Alligator mississippiensis: one gene and its partner. The protein of the gene in region 1 interacts with the protein of each later gene in a pairwise test. Links are inferred from orthologs where the notes say so. Each region holds a gene or a part of one and is shown on either strand. Other genes may lie near its edges.

Region 1 (7,048 bases):
GCTTCCCACAGCCTCTGTGCCCATACCTGCCCCCTTCTACAGCCTTGGACCCCCTACCCCTCTTTCCCTGCTCTCTCCCCCTGCAACCTCTACCCCCACCCCCCCAATCCACTTCTCCTCAGCTGCTTATCCTTGCTTCGCTCCAGGAGACCTGGTGCATGGAGCACAGCTCTATTCACACCTGGTAGCAATGGTGGTAGTGTGGTAACTCTGGACCCAGCTCCAGCTGGAGCTGCTAACTGGACTAGACTGGGGCTGAGCTTCTTGTGCCAGGCTGGAATGGGGCCAGAATCTGCTGGAGCAGAGCAAGGGTATGCAGTGGAATTGGGGTAGGTAGGCAAGTAGAGGAGGTGGGGGAGTAAAGCTGGTGGGTGACAGGTGGTAGCTGTTGGGCTGGAGTCAGACGCACAGCAGCTGCCTGCCCCCAAACTGGCACAGACTTGAATCCAACTTGAGACCTTTTTTCCCCATGTAAAATGGGGGATAAAACCTCATTTTGGGCTTGACCAAATACAATAATTCTTTATGAAAACATGAAACCTTTCGGTGATACACAGGGCTTCAAATGGAGTTACCTCATCGATATATGGCCTAGCAAGCACTTAGGTGCTTCCATCAAGCAGATGAGAGAAATAATGGAATTACTTTTGACAGAGGTACATATAACAAAACTTGGATCTTGTCTGTTAGAGGCAGGTTGTGGTTAATGGCATCTATCTGGTTGTGAAGAGACTTGTCTAGATGGCTACAAAAAGCCCGTTTTAACTTCTTGCTCCCTGTTGGAGACCCCTTAGACAAGTTTTGGCACTACTGCTGGGAATGAGAGTTGTTCTAGCCAGAGACTTCAAGGTCATCCTCCCAGCAAGGTAACACCCACAGTTTTTGCTTCGGGCTGCATGCGGACTCAGTAATAAAGGGTATCAGGGAACATTCAAACATTTTTCTTTATAATCATTGGGGCTAGGTTTGGTAATAATGCATAGTTAGCTTTGAACATGGCATGGAGGAACTCATGTGATAAGCAAATAAGGCTCATGCAGAAATCCTGCACTGCAGCCTCTCAGTATTGGTTTGGATACCATAGTTTTGCAAAAATTAGAAACGGTAAACAACAACACATTGACAAGAGGATCTATATGTGAGAGTAAAGCACCCAGATTGTCCTCCAGCTACTTTGCAAATCTCCAGTGAAAGCTCACATTGGCGTAAGAGGGGATAGCAATCCAAAAGTGATGATGAATCAATTAAAATGCATTTGCGAAGATCAATAGATGCGGGTTGGACACAAGTAGCCATTAATTTCTGAGTATCTTCTAACACAGCTGCAGCAGTAATCATGTTAGCTTGAAATCCAATTATTATGCATTTAATAGAGTATTAATATTTAAACACACTTTAGTGTGTTTAGGCAGTGCCTTTTAACTGCTGTATCCATGTAAAAGCACTGGTCCCTAGCCTCAGCTGGAGTAAATCAGCTGGAAATCAGTAGCAAAATGCCACTTTACACCAGCTGTAATTGTGAGCTAATGGACATAGAAACAGGTGAACCAAGTATGTGGGGAAAGAGGAGCACTGGACAACACAGTCACATGTCCACTATGGTGCATCACACAGCCAAAGGGGAGTCCACTCAGTGTCATCAGAGATGTAATCCTTCTGTGGCTAAGCAATAGGACTGAACAGGGGCCCTAAATTTGAAGAAATACACCATAAAGGGAAAGTGTAGTTTAATGTTGCACTGACCCATCTTAGGTCCAGTTACTGAACTAAAATTCTCCAGTTCAGATCAGCCTGACTTTAAATTAATTTTTGTGAGTAGATTTTTATGGACAGAAAATAATAATAATAAAAACCCAAAATGGTAAAATCAAAATTCTCCCTTGAAAAAATGAAATTTTGTAGAAACTTCCTTTTCCATTGAAAATATCATTCCTTACTATCCTGACTAGTTTATGCTTCCATTTCTACCAGGAAGGTCTGTGCAGCATAGAGACAACACCCAGAAATTTGAAGATTATAACATAGTCACATATCCTTACCCATACACTAATGGTGAAGTAATTTTTGTAAATCAGCCTTATTGACACACGTTTACTGGACCAGGAACTGCCATTTTTGCATACTGAAGTACTTTGAAGCAATTGGAATTTTTTACTCCATTGCCCCTATAACCTACTATAATGTACTATATTTATGACATTACTGATATATATATCTATATATAGATATATAGATATATATATATATCTATATATAGATATATATACTGTCTTCAAGGACTAATTAAAGGCCCCAAATGAAGTAACTCCTATCCTGGGCACTTCATATGGATGTAGAGATCCATGATAATCTGTCCATTTGTAAGACTGGGGCCTATCATTTTAAAAGAAAGAAATCTCTCATTTCCACACCTGTTTTTACAAATGACACCTTCCTTGCCTTTTAAATGGAAAAGCTATTAGAAAAACACATTCTCACTTTCTGCTCAGCTTATTCTTTTTCATTCCCCACCCCCTTGAAAAAATTATAGCAGCACTGCCGCAGTCACATTTCTTTGTCACTAGCTTCTAGCTACTTTTGCTTTCAGGTCTATATGTATTATCACAATATTGCAATGTCTGGGTTGCAACCGCTGCAGACAACATTTGTACATCAAAGCGTTCCAGTCCATTGTTAAAAAAAAAATGAGAGAGAGACTTGGAAATAATTTGCTTGCTCCTTGCTTGTATTTAAGTGTTTATTCAAGACTGTAGAATGTAAAATTCAAGATTTCGGGCAAATATAATCTTTCGAATGTCAGGAAGTTTTAATTGCTCTACCACATATTAATGCCTCTGGATTTGTTATACTGAAGACAGTGATGTGTTTGTCACCCTGCATCACCTCATGCTTTCCATCCACTTCTGCATGTTTCATTTACCTGCAATACTTAGTCACCTGGAAAAAATACCTTCTGCCTTGTACGTGGAATTTTGTATGGGGCAATGCTGCAACTTCCACTATTGTATAATGGTGCTGTTGCTCCATTTCTCACCATGTATCAGGAACTCGGTGATCAGCACTCTTAATAATAAGGTTCAGCTCCAGATCTTTGAACCTACCTCCTGGCAGGCTTAGTTAGCATGTGCAGATAGCCATGGTACTTTGAACACAGGGCATACGGCAGAGTTGGGCAATGAACTCCCTCTAGTTCTGCAACTGGTTTAAGACAGCCTGTTGCTGATGAGGAAATGTCAGCAGCTTGACTCTGTTTTGCAAGGCCAGTCTCTTCTGCAGCCTGCTTCTACCAAATTGCTCAGATAATAAATGTGCTGTGTCTCAGACTACCAGCTTTTTATGAAAAAGTTGCAGCAGTCAAGTGGCCCTATCGACTGTAGGATTATTTGCAATTAAAAAAAAAGAGCATCTCAATCCATGCATACAAAAAAATCCTGCCTCTCTCTGCAGGAGACAAGTGTGTTAGGGTTATGTTTCTACTTCTCCACTCTGCGTGTTGCGAGATCCCGTCACACACCTGCGAGATCGGATAACGGACCCCACTGTGCTCCCCCTGAAGCGAGAAATGGTATCAGGAAGACCAGACCCGGTGCTTGAGAGACCGCTCCTGAATAAGGAATAACAAATGAGGACAAAGAGAAAACCGGGTCCCCTGGAAACGGAGGGATGCTTCTTCCCAAACCCAACACCTGTGTGCGCTGCTCCTCTACCAAAGCAGCCCAAATCCAGATTGCAAGACCGTGCCGAGCCAGGGCAATCCTAGATGTAGCTCTTAGAGGATCAACTCCTGGTTGGACTTCCCACCCCCTAATTCCCCAGCCTGGCCGGAGACCGACGGCCGGCCCCGCTCTGCGTCCTCATGCCCCTAGTGCCAGCGCCCGCGCCCGCAGCCCGGCAGGGCAGGGGCAAGTCAAGCCTCGCTTCTCCGCGGGGGGAGGGGAGAAGGGGGCGGGGCGCGCTGCACTTGTTCCCGGGGCCGGGCAGGGAGGCCCCGCCCCCTCCTGTTTAGCACCGCCCCCTCCACCCCCCCACTCCGGAGCGGCGGCGGCGCGTGCGCGTGTGCGGGCGGGCGGCCGTGGAGAGGAGGCGGCGGCAGCGGCGGCGGAGGTCCCGCGGCGCCCGGCGAGCTGAGGCAACATGGCGAGCGACTCCCCGGCTCGCAGCCTGGACGAGATCGATCTCTCCGCCCTGCGGGTGAGTGCTCGCCCCCGGCCCGCGGGTCCTCTGCCTTCCTGGGGTGGGGGGTGAGGTGGATGATGGTGTGAGGTGAACGGTGTGTGTAAGACAAGTAGTGATGGGTGTGTGCGCGTGGGGGGCGGTGTGCACAGGACTGATGCTCCCGCAGGAGGGGAAGGAGACGGGGCTGCGATGTCCCCGGGGTGCAGTGGCGGGGGGTGTCTTCAGCAGGACGGTCTCCGGGGGGTGCGCCTGGGTCTTCAGGGGGAAGCGCGAGGCCCCCCAGCCCCATGGCTGCTGCAGCCCGGGTGCGGCATGGCTGTGGCATAGAGGTGCCCCCTTGGAGCAGCGGTGGCTGCCGTGCTCCTTTCGTCGATGCAGCGCTGTGCTCCGCGCATCCATCCCCCTTGGGTGCCTGCTCTTCAGTTGCCTTTGCACAGGCTCAGGCTGAGCTGTCTTTTTGTCGGTTTTTTTTTTTGTTCCCCCCGCCCTAGCTCAGGGGCATCTGGAGAGCGCCCTCTTTGCCCTTCCAATGCAAGTGGGTTTGTCTTTTGTTTGTTTTTTCCCCCTCTACCTGAGGGAGCCCTGCGTTGAAAACAAAAACCCGTAGCGCAGAGAGGATGTGGCTCTTTTTGTCCTCGGATGCAGCGTCTCTTTACAGTAGCAGCTCCCCCGCCGGTCTGCTTGCGCTTCCCTGCCGACTGCCTTGGCCGCCGTGGGGCCAGAGGGGTTGAGTCCATCTTGATGTGATTTTTATTTTTTTGCTGTGAAATTTGGACATTGCAAGCTGGGGATGTTTGCCCCCATTTCTGCCGCCCCCCAATCACCACCATCTTCAGTCCTTTCCAGGGAATGGGCATATGCCTCCTTGCCCTTTTCATCAGGCATCACCCTGCCTCCTCAGGCTTGGTTTAAGCATATATGCTTAATAGCGATGCACGTGTGTGTGACTACACACTACACATGTACTGAATCTAGGAACACTGATGTGGGTTGGTTCACACCCTGTGGAGCACATTGTTGCACACTGATGCTGAGCCCCGGAGTATTTTGTTTTCTTGCCTCTTCATTTGCTGTCATCAGCCAGCCTTGCTCTTTTCTCCCACGCTTCTTCTAAGTAAGACTCTTATTTGTATTTACAATAAACCAGAAATGTATATGGTACATCAAAGATGGCAGCCAGTGTTTTTGTATTGTGATGTGTCTCTTTCTCCCCCTGTTTCTATAATTCCCTCCCCCCCACCTTTTTCATCTATTGCTGGTTTCGGCTATCCACTACTGGAGTCCTTTAGGGGAGTAGTGTTTAATCTGGACGTGGCTGCTGAAACGTTGTCTGAAGGAGCCTTCCTTTATTACAGCAAGACTGCGTACACCTTGCTGGTACAGGTGTTTAAGAAAAATAAAATCAAGTGATGCCCACTGAAGACTTCCAAGACTGTTGTGTGGTTTTGTTTTGTTTTGTTTTGTTTGTTGGGGTTTTTTTGTTTTGTTTTGTTTTTTTACAAATAATGTTTGCTTCAAGGCAAACCCAAAAAGATGCCCGTCTTATTCACATGCCCTACTTTTCTTTCTGCTTAGTTCCTGGCTCATTAATAGTGTAAACCAGTGGTTTTCAACCTAGACCCCCGGGGGGTCTGCAGACTATGGTCACAGTCATCTTTTGCAGACCCCTTAGACAATCAAAAAGTATATGAATACATAGACTTACCATTCAAGGGGGTCTGCACCTCTATTCAGAAATTTTTAGGGATCTGCACATGAAGAGAGGTTGAAAACCACTGGTGTAAACAATTGCTCCACAGTTGCAGGTGTGGACAGGATGAGGAATATGGAGGTCCTTCATGTTTAAAAACAAACATTCAATTCTAGTTCACCTCCCCTGCCTCAGTATCTCAGGAGAAATGTCAGTCAATGGAATTAATAGCCCTATAAAGCAAACATCTTGGAGCATCAGCCCCTACATGTTGGATTTTGTTTTGGGAACAGCAGCAGTTGAATTTTCTTAATGCCCGTAACAACCAGTCTTAAAATAACATCCCTGCTTTTTGTTTTTAAGGTATCTGTGTTCATGCAGATGGAGCTTTTTATTATTATTTATTTTTTCTCCATGGACTATACCCAAAGCAAGTCTGAATTGTCTGTCAGTGCAAATACAAATTAGAAATCCTCGACTGTAACTGCATTTGTTATGATTCCCCCATGTGCTTCTTTATCGTGGAACCCTAGGCTTGGAAAGATCTTGGTGGTCATTTAATGCAGGATGTGTTTATTCCTAAACCATCCAGGACCAATGCCTTTCCAGCCTCTTTTTTTTTTTTTTTTAAGTCTCCCATGAAGGAGATTCCACATGTTATCCAGGGAGCTTGTCCTAGCTGTGCCCCATGCCCCTAAAAGTAGTCTTATGAACTGGATCAACCATGGGATCAAGTGGCCTTCTTTGCTGGTAGATATACCTCAACAGACGCTAGATGTTGTGTCCATTTTATGGTGTCAGTATTCAGTGGTGGGGGCAGGAGGACCGTGGAGAATACAAAACACGCTTTGTGTATCTTCGTGTACTAAACTGAAGGGAATTTGTTCAGAGCTCCCAAAACAGTGACAGATCATATTGGAGAGAGCCCCATTTGCATCTAGTACATCAGATAAATTGTTCAAGAGCTGTCGATCTTTGTAATCACTTGACCTTCTGTAATGCTTCAAGGTCAGCAGGGCTTTGGGTGGGCTGCCGCACTGACTTGCGGTAACCCCAGGCAGCTGTAGTCTAACTTTGTGCTCTTTACACCTGCGGGTCAGCGTTGGCTCACTTGGGCTTTCATGTCTCTTCTACACTGAAAATGGTAAACACTTCCTAGATAGAGACAAAGCCCTAAGAGGG
Region 2 (7,902 bases), on another chromosome or scaffold:
TACTATTACAAAAATACTTGGTTCTATCAATTTTATTTAGCGTCTTCCCAATACTGGTTGTGACACATTACCAGCCAGCTAAGTACCATCAACTGTTGTTGCCATGTTATATCAGCATCTCGATAACCATTTTTTACATATTTTATCCAGAAAAGCTGGCTGATGAGGTTGTTAAACAGCAGAATAGAGTTTAGTAACAGTAACTAACTCCTTCATCACCTATTTCTCCTGATCAATAATACCATCGTAAGCTTGTATCTGAACCTTCGTGATACATGAAAAATCTTCTTCCAATCAGGTTTTTGCACCTGCCTGATGAGTCAAAATTCCTTGCAACACTTCTACATTGATCTTTCTTTAAATAAGGTAATGAATGCAAACTGCCTTAATCTTTAAAGCTATGGAAATACTATCCCCCAAGACGCCCTTATGAATGAATACATCTAAAGGTCAAAAATAATTTTGAAAAATAATCACCTAGCTAGGTAAAAAGACTTTTCAACATCCCCAGTCCTAACAGATCATAAATGTTGCATTTAATGCTTCAAACAATTTTATAAATGTAGACTATTTAGAATTATTTTAAATTAAAGGATATTCTTTGAATACTGATAATTAAAAACATATTTTTATGGACAATAGTTTTGATTTTGTGTAGACATTATCTATAAAGAAAGACCTCTTCCCTCCCTCTTCACTGTACATGTGCAAATTTCCTCGCAACTAGCAGACTGAAATGGTATTCACACTATATTCAATTGCTGATTCTGCTTTTGCATGCATGGCAGGCATCCAACAGATTAATATTTTATGCATTTAAAAAAAAAAATCAAAGATTTCTGACAAACAGCAGGTTGTCTTAACTAAAGAAGTCAGGCTTCAGTGCTATGGAAGATGGATTTGTCAGAGATACTGCAGTCTTGCAATATCGGGTATAAGGCTGCCATTTTTTTTGGTATTAAAGCAGGCCTACCCACATCTAACTACAACATCTCTGTGGAAAAGATAATGAAACCAAGTCCATTTATGATGTCCGTTCAATTGAATATTCAGTATCATCATTTCACAGCCATAAACACTTTCCATCCATTAAACAAAAAATAAAAAAAATAAAATAAAAAAATCAACCAACACCTCCGATGATTATTATTTTGGAATTTAACATGGTATTCATTTAAAAAATAAAAGGCAGGGATGTAATTCTTCAAACAACCAATGTTTCACATCTAAATATAGGAAACTGCATTCGGTAATACATCTGAAAGACAATGACACATTTAACTGGGGGGAACCCAATAACAGTAGACTTAATAAAGTGCTTCTGAAAGCAAAAAAGCAGAAAATCTCCACTCCCAAATCAGTTACTGTTATTGGAAAATGGGTATAAAGACTGCTGAGGTTTACTGTACCTTAAAGGCAGGAGGAAAAAACCAATACCTTCTCCTTCACAATGGGAAAGGGCACGTAACACCCGCCAGCCTGAACGAACCCAGCTGATGCACAAGTCTGGGTTTCAGTGGTGCATGCAGCATCTGCACACATTTGCCCCAGTCAGTCTAAAGGTGCACTCCTTCCTCTCCTTTACAATAACACTCTTCCTGCAACCCCTCCCTAATGCTGCTACTTTTGTAGTATCAGATTAATGCTCCACAGCCGCAGGCTGGACTCCATCTGACTGCATTAGAGCTGCAGAACTGCAATCATACAGCTCCCCACCGCCCCCCCCCATTACAGATTAGCAGCAAGCAAATTAAAAAAAACCCAGAAAACAGAAAGCCAGCAAACCCACCCAACATCTTGATGCAAAACTGCCATCTGCCTCTTCCTCACACACAGCCCCCCCCCCCCCCGGAACAACCTCCAAAGAAAAAAGATGCCCCCTAAAAGCTGAGAATGATGACAGGAAAAAAAAATTATGGGAAGAGGGCATTAAAAACCCAGACCCCAAGCAACCCAGCCAGTTGGGTGGGGTTTTTTGCTTAGTGCACAAGGGAGATCAGGATTCCTGTGAGATGTAGCCGGAGAGCACGGCATGAAGGGGGTCAGAGCACTGCATTGTGCTGCATCGCTTCGCCCAGACATCATGGAAGGAGCGGTGTGTCGCACAGGAGCACCCCAGCTCCGCCAGGGGACACACACACACACTTCAATAAACCCCACACCTCAGACAGGCACAGACACCCCCCCCCAGTAGCCCCCATACCTCCCCATACACCCCCCCACCCCAACACACACACTAACCCCCCCGTAACTCACTTACCTCCCCACACACCCCCCACCCCGACACACACACACTTTTGAATAAGCCTCCCCAATAACCCCCATGCCTTCCCCCCATGCCCCAGCAATTACATACACACACACATACTTCAATAGCCCCCCAAGCCTCAGGCAACCTCCACCCCCAATAACTACCACAGCCCCCACCTAACACACACACACACACACACAATAAAACCCACCCCTCAGACACAACATCCCCAGTAACCCCCATGCACCCCACCCCAACACACACACACACCCCAGTATCCCCCATACCCCCAGCTCCCTTCTCCTCATGCCCCGCCTTGGGGACCCCCACCCCAAGTGCGGCTTGCAGCGCGCAGAGGCCCCCCGGCCCGGGCTGGATGCACAAACCTGTTGCGGTGCCGGGCGGAACACACACACACACACACCATCCCCCCCCGCACACTGCCCGCAACGGGCAGAGCCGGGCCCGGCCACGCCTGTTTGCATCCCTGCACCGCCGGCTGCGGCGCCCCCGCTGCCACCCCCAGGCCCGGGGGACACCCCCCGCGCCAGCACCATGACGGAGCAAGACACTGCAAACCCAGCGTCCATTGCACGAGCCCCCCGCGCCTCCCTCCCTCCCGGGGCCTCGTGCAGGCGGGTCCCCGCGCACCCCTACCTCGCCTCGCTGGGGCTGCGCTGCTTGGCGGCGGCGGCAGGCGGGGGCGATGCAGATGCAGCAGCAGCTCGGCGCGGCCAGAGGCGGGAGGAGGGCGCGGCGCAGCCCGCAGCCGCCTGCCCCCGCGCAACCCGCACGCAGCAGCGGCACTGATTGAGGGGCGGGGACGGCGGCGGGCCCGCCCCGTGCAGCCTCTAGCCCGCGCGCGGGTGGCGGCTTGGCTCGGCTCGGCTCGGTTCGGGCGCAGGTGCACGGGCATGGATCTGGCAGAGCCTGGGCCCGGCCTCTCACACCAGCTCCCCCCCACCAGCCTTTCTGTGACACCCCCCTCCCCTAGTGCCGCTGATTTTTAGGGGCCGCTCATGTCCCCTGCTGCGGCGCCTCTGCTCTACTCGGGCCGCTTTGCCCATGTAACCAACCCCTGGCGAGACCCCCCCTGCCTGCCCCTCCTCTCCCTTCGGCCCTGCTCTCCTGCTGCTCTGAGTGGCTTGTGACTCGTGAGTTGTGCCGTCTTCCTAGCTAAATGCGCCTCCAGGCTCCGCAGTTCAATCCCGGGTGCCTTTTTGACTAATTTCTCTAACCATCTCCTCCCATCTCCACTTGTCTCTCTGCCCAGGGGCCTTTCAAGAGACAACTCACATGCAATACAGCCTTTCCTCCTTCTCTATCCTCCTCTACCCCCTGTCAAAGAGACACTTTCCTCCTCTTGCCTCTTTTCCATGAGACCTAGTAACCCTATCCCATGCCCCCAAATCTTATTATACCCTCTCCCTCACTCTTCTCCTTAACCTCTTTATTTTCCTCTCCCTGCCACAACAAAGCAGCTTTCACCTGTCGCCCTTGACTCCAGTCAGTCCCCGCCACTACAGTTCCATCTCCTTCATGTTATTCATCTCTCAGCTCTTTGTACGTGCTGTTTTCACACCTTGTCCTTAGTTTTTCCTCCAGCTCCATCCTAGACCCACTCCATCCTAGTTTCAACCTGTACACTCAGATGAAACGGGTTTTGCCAGTTTGGAATGAGTTCTTCCTGGCCACATCTCAGAACAACACTCCAGTCTCGTCCTCCTTCCATACCATCAATTGGGCTTTTTCCTGTTGACATCTTGTCCTCCCTTAGTTTGCATGACTCATCTACTGCTTCTTTTCCTCCCTCTCTCCATCATGTCCTTTGGAGGATCCCCACATCTCCCCCTCCAACCTTATGTGGCAGTTTTAAAAGGCACTGCCTTTGGTCCCTTTCTCTTTCTCTCTTCATCTTATCTCAGGGTGACTTCAACCATAAACACAAATTTGACTCCCATAGCTTTGCAGGCAACTCACAGATCTCACCCTCTATTCTAGACCTGTCTTCTGTTGTTCATCCTTCGCAAGCGAAGATGAGGAAAAAGGAGAAAGAAGAGAGGAAAGAGAGAGGAGGATAGGTTGCGTGAGTATGCAGGTGACATATAAGCCCAATCATTGCCCTGAACGATTTGCTGCAGCAGGGGCAGGACAGCGACAAGGACTGGACACAAGAGGTCCTCGATTTCCTGGCCACACGTTTCCTCACTGCCTCCGCCATGCGCCGCTCTGGACCAATGACCTCCAGGATAGACAGTCGCAAGTGATTTGAACCCACAACTCCAGGTCGATGCTGAAACTCTTCAAGGACACCTTCTTTGGTGCACTGCAAAAGTGTACTCCATTTGACAGTTCACCATAGAAGATTTTCTTCAGCAGGCGAGTGTCGGTCATTCTTGAAAGGTGGCCGGCCCATCTTAGCTGTGCCAGTTTCAGTAGCGTGTGGATATTGGGGAGAGCTGATCTTCTGAGCACCTTAGTGTCCAGAATCTTGTCCTTCCACTTGATCTTTAGTATCTTTTACAGGCAGCAGAAGTGGAAGTGGTTTAGTTTCTTGACATGACTGGTAGATGGTCCAGGTTTTGCAGGCATAAAGGAGGTTCGGGGGAATGATGGCTTTGTAGACCTTCTGTTTCATGAACGTTCTGATGCCTCTGCTCAAAGTAAAATGTCAGAGTATGTCTACACTGCCTCTCTCTCTTCTCCAGGCTGCTGCTGCTGAAATAAAAGTTCCTCCAATGTGGTTCCACTTGGTAGCACCAGAACACAGGCTGTCAGGGTGCTCTGGGGGACCACCCACCATGGCTCTTGAGCCAGAGAGACATGGAGAATGGCAGTGAGAGATAAAGAGTCCTCACTGCCTCAGGGGCAAGTTTGCAGCATGCAGAATGAGAATAGGTAGACAGGCCACCTTTTTGGAAGCAGTCTGAAAAGTATCACAATGACAATGTAGACAGGCCATCCATCCTTGTAGATGCCTAACCTTTCGTTCAAGTTGAACACGGCTGAAACATGACTTTTACTCTTCACACCCCCCCCAGAAGGATAGGTGCCCACAAACTCCTTACTTGATCAGTGTGGGCAATATCGCTATCTTGCCTGTCACTCAGGCTTTTTAATCAGGGCATCATTTCCAACTCAGATTTCACTCTGGGTCCTCACACACAGGCTACAGCTAAGCTCTAATCTTTCATTATTCATCCACACAATTAAAACTCATGTCCAAGCTCTCTTTGTCTCACCAATCATTTCAATGGACTGCAACATCCCATTTTCTGGCTTTGACAATGCAAACTTTCCCATATCCATCCATTTTGTTGCTGCAAAAATAATTTTCCTAGCCTACCACTTTGCACCATGTCACCTCTTCCTTTACCGGCTTCCCTTGGCTTATACTTCTCTATCACATTAGGCATAACCTACTCATAATTTTCAAGGCCTTCTATGACACACCCTGCCTCTCCATCGTCTCTCATTCAGTTTCCAGAGGTTGACTCCTGCCTCCGATGCCAGTCCATGACACTTGCCTCTATAGCCTCCTTGTTAGGTTTTCAAATAAGCACTTTCATGCTTCTCCCATGCTACCCTTCATGCTTCAGAGAAGCTCCCTCTAAGCATCTCAGAAGTTCTCAGAAGTGCTTCATTACTCTCCTTTATTCTCTCCTCAAAACTTCCTTTTGCCACAAGGCCTACAGAAAACTTGACTACAGTTAAGCTGTAAATCTGCTGAGACTACTGTGCATGATGTTGACTGGTATTGTCTCCTTGTGCTTGTCAGTCTATTCACCTGTTGCCTCATGTTTTATTCTTAGGCTGTGAGCTTCTTAGGGTGGGGGCTGTCTTTTAGTTCTTTTTTGGCAAGCACTTGCCACAATGGGGACCATATCCATGATTAACAATCCTAGCTCTTATGATCATATAAACAATAATTATGGTGATAATAAGGGTTACTATGTAAGCGATAGTAAACCAAACTTACAAACTTATTAGCTGTTCTTATAATGAAGAATAGGACATATGCATCAAGGAAACAGCATTTTAGAAGTTTGCATATATAGAAAAGCAACCAAACAAAATAAGCCATAAAGTTGACAAACCAAATTATTCCACTCTTCCCAACCATCAATAGAACCTAATTTTCCATATCGGCATACTGCAATTAACATCTGTTCCCACAGGGAAAAAGACTACTCAATATGAGTAGGTTGGCAGAATTTAATCCAAGTCATTTGAAAAGTTCTACAGGAAAGATAGCTTTCCAATCTAGATTTTCTTTAATACAAGGACTAAATATTATGATATTTCTAAAAATAAAATTCCCATCATCTCAGTGAGAGATTTGCCAAAGGAGGGTAAAGGCCAAATATTTGACCCTGAATAAAGGCACACAAGTGTCCAAGCATCTGTTGTAGAGCACATTGCACTCTGTTTACATGGATAAAACTTCCCAGATTTAAGTAAGCCTGCCCCAAATTTTGTATTAGTGTGGGAAGCATTGCTTAAATTACTCTGATCATCAATAACAGTAATTCAAAGACTTAAATAAAGGCAGAATAATGTATTTTGTTTGCCAGTAATTTTAATATGGAAGTTTTTTCTCAAGATTAGTTTGCAGCTAAGTTAAATTTCCTTTCTGAAAAACAACCTTGTTTAGTTGTTAGGAATTTCTACCATGCTCGTTTCATATTACCAGCCTGGTAACAGTTCCTTTAATGCAACATCTCTTTGTTTTGTAGCCCTTTAAGCTTAGAGGGGTATGATAAATGTGAAATATAGGATTGGGGGAGTCTGTGGTTTTTGCATTATTACTGTATTTTTTTCTTTTTATCAAGGTTAGATAACTAATATCCCTTTGTCAGGCATTAGCATGAATCCAGTCATTTGGATTTTGTTCAGCAATTCATAAAGTATAGATTTTAGTCAGCAAATCTTGTGTGATAAAACATCTCAAGCTTAATAAGGAGGTGTAATAGTGCTTTGCCATTGTGCCTACTACATTGTTTAAGGAGAAGAGATTAAAATTTTAGTATTGTTGTATTTCTCATATTATATATAATATGAGAAATACAACATTAACATTTCTCATATATGAGAAATACAACAATAATTACTTACTAAAATAAAAATAATAAAATCCTTACATTTGAGCGCGCGCACACACACACATATATATAATATGTGCTCAAGTGTAAGGATTTTATTATTACAGATTAGAAAGAACATTGGAAAAATTCCATGCTTCACCCAACTATTAATATCTCCTGTGCAAGTAGGCAGGGGAAGAAAAAAAGATGCCAAATGTATGGGAGAGAGTAGGCAGGGACATCCAACATATTTTAAGATTCTGGCTGTCTTAACCTACATAGCTCAAACAAGGGTGGGCCAAAGATTATTGTGGAAATAACTAGCTGGAATGAACGCCTGTGATCTGCAAGAACCAGAATAACAGCACTACTGTGGGCTCCTGCCAGTTATACCAGTCATTAACATTTGTTTCCTTCCTTCAGCTGCTTGGATTTAAGTAAATCATGCAATAGCTAAATATAGATTTTGTTCTGATTTTTTAAATTAAGTGTTACCTTTTTGCAAGAGAAACATATGTTTTCATAAATGTAAACATTTTTATGGTTTAGTGTGAATATCCCCTTGCA

Evidence for each region. The genes of interacting proteins can lie anywhere in the genome.
Region 2: the proteins of TNIK (region 1) and SPTBN1 interact in a two-hybrid assay, tested with the Homo sapiens proteins (2 studies listed by BioGRID and IntAct). The link is inferred for Alligator mississippiensis from reciprocal best matches to the Homo sapiens genes TNIK and SPTBN1.

What each region holds. Positions count from the first base shown.
Region 1 is NC_081830.1:75,557,398-75,564,445, reverse strand, and holds the start of TNIK (TRAF2 and NCK-interacting protein kinase), read left to right. Parts: upstream 1-4,046; 5' UTR 4,047-4,134; coding exon 4,135-4,191; intron 4,192-7,048. UniProt on the Homo sapiens protein: Serine/threonine kinase that acts as an essential activator of the Wnt signaling pathway. Recruited to promoters of Wnt target genes and required to activate their expression. May act by phosphorylating TCF4/TCF7L2.
Region 2 is NC_081824.1:206,540,277-206,548,178, reverse strand, and holds the start of SPTBN1 (spectrin beta chain, non-erythrocytic 1), read right to left. Parts: upstream 3,017-7,902; 5' UTR 2,909-3,016; intron 1-2,908. UniProt on the Homo sapiens protein: Fodrin, which seems to be involved in secretion, interacts with calmodulin in a calcium-dependent manner and is thus candidate for the calcium-dependent movement of the cytoskeleton at the membrane.